Linked DNA regions of Drosophila melanogaster. Changing the gene in region 2 together with the main gene of any one other region gives a genetic interaction. Each region holds a gene or a part of one and is shown on either strand. Other genes may lie near its edges.

Region 1 (3,757 bases), on a different chromosome or scaffold from region 2:
TGATAATTGGATAAAAGTGGCTGGTATAAATGCAGCAAAAGATCACGAGGAAAGGTTGAATTCTAAAATTCTAAATACATGAATAATAAAATAAAAAAGATTTCACGATTTAGGCCACTTTTAATATTTAGCTTCGCAAGTTAGGTTTTTCCTTTTGCGAAATCGGATCTGGGTTTTGAGGTTATTGCGGTTCTTAAAGCCAGGCAAACTGACCCAACCTGGGGAAGAAGTCGTTGTGCTCCACGGAACGGCTTATAAAATTATTTATTAATCATAGACTTTGGTTTTATTTTACGCAAACAAAACCGGTTCATTGTGGAAGCCGGACGAGTGAGTTGTGATCCCTTAATTGAGGTATTCAGCTATTTATATTGATTTTAAGTGGATGGTGTTCATTTGTTGGGCAATTTCTGCATTTCACTAAGTGAGAATCATTGCCAGAATATCCAACAACAAAAGATGCTTTTGTACAGAGAAAAAAAAGATGTTAAAAACGTTTTGAATAAATAAATATTCCTTTGGTTGATCTCTAAAAATTCCAGGAATAATATGTCAATGAGGCATATTGTTTCTGTGGAATTTTCATTTATATACATATGTATGGTTTAGATTGATTTTTAAAATAATTTTTGTAAGTATTCTAACGACACGAAACCCAATAGCATAATCAAAACCCCAACTGCGATTAAAAAGATTGACTTGGACTTAATCAAAGTAGATCACGACTACTTAAAAGTTTATTGAACTGCATTTTTTTATGCATTCAGAAGGTGATGATGAAATTACAAAAAAGATGCCCCAATTGAATTTAAGATACGCATAGACTTATTACGATATTGCACTTATAACACGTGTGGCAGCCTAAGGGTTAAGGTTAACTGAGTCCAGATAAAAAAGCAAATACGCAAACGGGTAAAACAAAGTTAAAAATAGAGATGGAAAGAGGGAAGCTGCTGATACAACAAAAGGCAGTGCGAATTTCGATTGAATGGGCACAGAGAATTACATTCGATGCGGAAAGAAAAAGCAGAGCGCCAAACTTGACACAGAAAAGCTCCTATACATACTTGCAATTTCCTACACACGAAATAAAAAGTTATCAAACGAAATGGTTAGATAAGAGATATTAAGTGCAGGAAGCCCACTTAGTTAAGTGGGTGAATGTATTATTTTATATTTCAATAACAAAACAAAAAAAAACCTTTTTTGGACTTTGTTTTACCTTAAAATTATACGTTTCATTCTTAATTCATTTGGAAATCTCACACTTTACCCTACATTTCTTTGATTTTGATGTAAAAATAAACTTTAGCTACATACATAACTAGTATTTTTTTCAGTGTGTGAATTTGTGTATCCTTTTTGTGTTGTCTTTTCCATGTTTCCTTTCTCCGCTCTCACTGCCTCTCACCTCTCACTCACCCTCTCTTGTTTTTCCTTTATCAATGTCAGAGAGCGTGCGTACACACACGAACACAACTGCACACCTACACCTACGAATAGATAACAGCAACAACAACAAAGGGTGGTACACAAAAATCGATGCAACATATTTTTGGGCCGCCCAATGTCACGGATGTTTTTCCCAACTTTTTAATGTGTTAAGCTAGTAGATAATTTATTATATATCCTACAACTTACAGAAGGCGGCCACAATGCCCAGCAATCGACTTCCATATTTGAGATACCACGGCTGCTCCGGTCCAATTGGATCTTGTTGATTCGGCCGTGCCAGCAGACCCGTTATCTTTTCCGCAAACGACTGATCCGGGAAATAGACGGAAATAGGGAGAAATCGAAATGCAATTAGGAAAAATCGAAGCACAATTTTGTATTGTGACGCGGCGGCCGCTTTTTTTAACACGCACACATTGCCACGACAAAAACACACACACCAGTTAACGCGCGGCTCACATGCATACACACTGACACCGCTCACTGCGTCAGCATTTTATCTCAGTCAATCAACAACTACCTACCATGGCTATTTATTTAGTTAGTTAGCTAGGCTTAAACTAATTCGAACAATTACTATTTGCACTTTTCACGTCACACGGAACGAAAAAAATCCTGTTGTACTTTGCGTTCTGCTGCACGCGAACCGAACTAGATCGCGATTCTGATGGCCGATAGAGCCTATCGATACTCGGAAGTTATCGGAGGCGAATGGAACTAGTTTCCTGGTATCCTGGATTCACTACAACATTTTTTAATTTTTAAATTTATATTGCAATTAGTCAACTTCTTACTTTTTTCATAATTATTTGTATTTTCTTGTTTTGGGTTTCGAACATTCAAATAATTACACAAATACTTTTTTAGGTAATGAAAAAACTACAGTCTAAACTTGTAAATTGGTTTTTGTTCGATTATGATATTAAACAATATTTTCCGGTTCTCTTAGCAAATGTTAGGCAAATTTGTGTACATTGAAAGCTTTTATACCGTTCAATATGCAGGCGGCATCTTTAGAAAATTCACTTCGATCTCAGATCGTTCACCTAACTCCTAAATCTGAACAACTATCTCTATTCAAATCAATCAAAATTAATTTATTTTTAGATTTGCATAAATTTCTAAGTCCGTAAATTAAAAATCGATTAATTCAATTGCCTATCGACATTAAGCAGCTCTGCATTGTATCGATAAATTAAACATCTATCGATAGTATCGATTAGCAGACATCGAAGAAATCATTGATTACTTGCCTTTTATTAACTTGGTTTTTGGACCTCCTCGAAAATATCAGCAAAATGACAGAAGCGGAAATTTGCAAACTATGCAAGGATAACCGAGCAATTGAGATCGATCTCGAGAAGCCCAAATTCAAATCGGCCAATAAACTGCTGCAAAGACTTTTCGATTGGTACAAAATTGATGTAAGTTCTGAAAGTGAGTCCAATGGATGTCAAATGCAAAGAAACCCACGTATTTTAGGCTGCTATCCTGGGGGAAAATTACTGCATTTGCGAGCCCTGCTTTGGAGAGACTTTGCGCATAAGCGAATCCCTGGAGAAGTGGGGCACGGCCCAGGACGAGTTTCACCGGAGGCCCATCGAAATAGACGACTCCACTGCATTTCAGATCAAGTTGGAGGTGACATCAAACAAAGAAGAGGTAGAAACGGAAAAGAATGATGAGGAGAATTCTTTCGATCAGCATATCGCGGAGCCAGTGAAGGAAGATCCATTGGAAAAAAACGAGCATATGGAGATCGTAGTCGAAGAATCTTTGAAAACCGCGTCCGTGGATTTCTTCAGCGTGGGATTGTCACGCGATGGCTTGGCAGTCACCAAGTTCTTCAAGGACAAGACCCAAGCCACTCGGATGCTGTGCACCTGTTGCGGCCATGTGCTCGAAATCCTGACCCACATACGCATGCATTCTTGTAAACCCCGCCCGAATCCGGTCTACTATTGCCGCGATTGTGGTTCAGAGTTCCACAAACTACACGAACTACATGAGCACATGAAGACGATGAAACACAACAAGACCATGTGCGGCGCAAAGGATTTGGAATTTCTGTGCCTCAGATGCAACCAGATATTCCCACGCTATTTCGACGTTATCCGCCACGAGAACAGCGTTCACAATGTATCCGATTTCATCTGCGTGGAGTGCAACATGTCCTTCGCTAACCAAGGATCCTACAGGAGGCACACGAGGAGCCATAAAGTCAAATTCACGCAGCAGCGATTTTATGAGTGCCCATATAAGGACTGCACCTCAAGTTATCGAGTGTGGGCGCGCTTAATGT
Region 2 (3,757 bases):
AAATTCATAAATTAAGGCAAAAATTGCTTGGGCGCGCAGCGGAATTGTTTAAAAACGCTCGGAACGAGAATGAAGGCGAAAATAGATTCGTCCAGACATAGACGAACTGATCAAGTTCCCTACGAATAACGAAAACATTTTGCCCCAAGCTAACCCACTGCCCTTCCGCAGTCGCCGTTTTTTCGATTTCCCCCCTGGAAGCCATATTCTAAATTTAAATGGGGAAAAACAAAATAGAAATCATCGAAAATACATTTCGAAATAGAGCTAGAACAAGCCGTGGCAAAATCAAAAACAAGCAACACAAACAGAAACACAAAATGCCAAGAACAACGAGATGAGCAGGGAAAAGCAACATTATTTTCAACAATATTTTGTTGTTGCTCTCCCTGCTGAAAGTTTATAGAATCGGAACATACGTATAGACAGTCTATGTATATCTAAATTCATATACGATATATATATATATATATAGACATGGTTTCGTGATCGAAACGTTTTATTCGTCTTTCGTTCTTGGCGAAATTCGAAAATTACTTTCAACCAAAGTTGCAAGGCGTTTCGTCTACGGGGCGTATGCGTGATTTTCAGTAGGTGTGTTGCAGCGTCATTCGCACCGTTTACCATTATATATAGAAATTTATATATATATACATATATATATATATATATATATGTGTATGTGTGTATTTGGCCATATTGCGTATATACATTATATTTAGACTGACGATGCCAAAGTAATTCAGCTAAAACATTGATATTAACAAGACGGATATAGGCTATATGTTCGTACGATTCGCTTGGAACACATTATTCGAAAGCTTAAAGTTATGTCAGCGGCCAACATGCAAGATAAATAGCCGAACAACATGAAACAGATCGTTAAAATGGTTTTTCTAGATCAAGTCCAAAGTGGCACGGTCTAAGAAAAACCTTTTAAATGAACACAAACGGAATAATTACTTTAAGACCTGGAAATGATATTGGATGGATTAAATAGTAATAATCTTCAAATTAAATAAGTTAAGAATCTATGGGATTCCCCAATTTTATCTAATATATTTTCAGCAATATATGTATGTAAGGGTTATTAACCTATTTTTCTTAAAAACTGCAGTCTTCTAAAGAAAACAGTAATTTGTATTCAGTCAACTCATCGAAATATTAGTTATGTTTATGAGGATAAATGTTCGATAGGAGTTATAAATCTAATCTTTAAAATAACGCTGCATGCACCTATTTTAAGATAATGTTTAGTTTCATTAGTATTTGCTGTTGAAGTAGATTACATTGAAAATGAATATATATTCAATATATGCATATCCCAGCACAAGCTTATTCCCTGGATTTTCCAGAATTAGCATAATATTTTATAGTTTTTTAACCAGGGCTGGCGAAACCAGAGATTGCAGCCAGTCGCCGGCCCTGATTTTTTCATTGCACACCGATTGCACCGCCATCGCATAGCCTCCCAACTGGAGCAACAAAACCTATTTTTATCCATTGCATTGAATTCCAAGCGGCTCCGTTTACACCAGCACACACATCGAACTGCAGATACGATATTGTGAACACCGATGCGGATACAGAGATACAAAGATTCTCCAAGCGGTATTTTTCATAGGGTGGTTTACGGGTCTGCAGTTCCGACGGGGCGGGAGTTACGGGATCGGGATCGCAATCGCAATCGCAATCGCAATCGGATTCGGATTCGGAATCGATTCGGCATGCCACTCGGCTGCGACGATCGTGAGCCGAACACTTTTCGGTATCCATTTCGATTTTGCTTATGGGCTGTGCTCTGCCATGTCAGTTTTGGTGGGATCTATTTTTGGATCTCACGCCCAGATACATAACCCCGGCCCCCGAGCCACTCTCGCTCTCTCTCGCTCTCGCCCGTTCGTGAAGGACGGTGGGCAGGTGGGCGGCTAACGTTTGGCTTTCGGAACATAACGGAACCGAGCCGAACGAGACGATGCGATACGATGCGATCCGATCAACAACGATCCGTATCTGTATCCGTTGGGTGGCTAGCCGCTAGAATATAGTCTGCCGTGGATCGTCGGACCGTTCAGTCTTTTTGTGTCGTTCAGTATCATCCGATTCGTGTGATCGACAGCATAGCCGAATTTTTTTTCTTTTTTTTCTAATTCCTTGAAGGTGAGTGCTTGAAGCGGAGCAACATTCAAAAAGCCAAGAAAAACATCACCATCAACATTGACAACGAGCAACAATGCAAGAACAAGCGGAATGGAAAAACAGAAAACTGCAAAATGCAAAATGCAAATGCTAATGCTAATGCAAAGAAAAACAAATGTGAAATCCTCAGTCCTTTCTCATATGCTATACATATATATATATATATTTATATTTATATGTATGTCTGGACCTGACCAAAATCGTGTGCGTGTGCCCAGAGGATTCAAACATTTTTTTTCAAACAATTTTTTTGCTATTTTTTTTCAAGTGATACAAGTTAACAAGTGTCTAAAACTGCATCGAAATACTTTTCAACATTATTTTGACTTGATTTTGCAATGAATTTTTTTTCACGGATTGGCTTGCCAATTACGTAAGAAGTTGCCGTGTGTGTGTGCGTGTATGCGTGTGTGTGCGTGCCGAAAGCTAAAAATGTATCCCGCAGATACAAGATACATTTCAAAAAAGCTAAAATCGCTCGAAAAGTGCCTGAAAATAGACCACAGCGAGAACAAGAGATCCCGAGAGAGAGAAAAATCACACACACACACGCACACACAGAAAATCATACACTCACACACAGAGAAACAACACGCACACGTCGCCTACGTAAAATAACTGGATAAATGCTCTCCGAACTTTTGGATTTCATATTCGATACGAATATCGTTGCTCCAATTTGACTATTTTTTTTCCGTGAACATATAAACAAATTGTACGGCAAATCATAAATAGCTGCCATATTTCTCGCATCCGAGATTCGTGTATCTATCAACAGGTTTATTTTTAAATCAGTCAGATACTAGATACAGTAGATGCCATCCCACTCGCTCTCATTCTCAGATGTATGCCGAGTGGAGACATCGACTATGCTTAAATTCGTTGTGCATTTCTCGCAGTGTACATAGCCGAAGGTCGTCATTGTCAGAAAATTTTCACGCCTTACCTTCGCTAAGGTGCGCAAATTGCTGGGGCTAAATATACGCCTAGCTCCCTAGCAATTCGTTCTACTAAGCCATATGGCTTTGTAGGTGTGAAAACCCCAAAATATACAACTTCTTCCAAAGGATATAAAATCTATAACGGATCTCCTTTTGACTCATTGTACATTATTTTAGTTCATTGCTAACAGCATAGATAATTTGTTTAACGATTACTTTCAACGCTAGTAGACTTTTTAAAGTTATATATGTACTTTGTGAGGTGTTAATTCTTCGACTTCATTTCAGTAAAAATGTATACATATACATACTATACGGATAGGCTAGCAAATAAATTCTGATTAATTCCTCAAGATGTAGACATGGTTTTTCGTATGATGAAATCTCATAATGTTTACTTAAAGATTCCCAATATGTTATTCAGCATAAAATGTATTTTTAAAATGCCATTACAACGATCAATCATCTGATCAAGTATGCATATGTAAAAGTTACTTCTATACTAACGATTTAACTTTTAGCTTGATTAAAACGAAAACATATCGTAGGAAAGTTTCCATTAACAAAATCAGCTGGCTGAGATCGGTCAGTTGGGAAATGCTATTCTCTCTTTGCTC

Evidence for each region. A genetic interaction does not mean that the proteins touch.
Region 1: of wupA (region 2) and fwe, changing one suppresses a phenotype caused by changing the other (phenotypic suppression), as found in Drosophila melanogaster (one study listed by BioGRID).

What each region holds. Positions count from the first base shown.
Region 1 is NT_037436.4:15,814,295-15,818,051, forward strand, and holds the start of fwe (flower), read right to left. Parts: upstream 2,117-3,757; 5' UTR 1,983-2,116; coding exon 1,980-1,982; intron 1,763-1,979; coding exon 1,642-1,762; intron 1-1,641. Other genes in the region: CkIIalpha-i1 (CKII-alpha subunit interactor-1), read left to right, coding at 2,754-2,879, 2,938-3,757. UniProt on the Drosophila melanogaster protein: Transmembrane protein which mediates synaptic endocytosis, fitness-based cell culling, neuronal culling, morphogen gradient scaling, and calcium transport. Regulates synaptic endocytosis and hence couples exo- with endocytosis.
Region 2 is NC_004354.4:18,115,110-18,118,866, reverse strand, and holds the start of wupA (wings up A), read left to right. Parts: upstream 1-2,041; 5' UTR 2,042-2,160; intron 2,161-3,757. UniProt on the Drosophila melanogaster protein: Troponin I is the ATPase inhibitory subunit of troponin in the thin filament regulatory complex. Involved in the development and maintenance of muscle and nervous system. May also be involved in the cytoskeletal apparatus.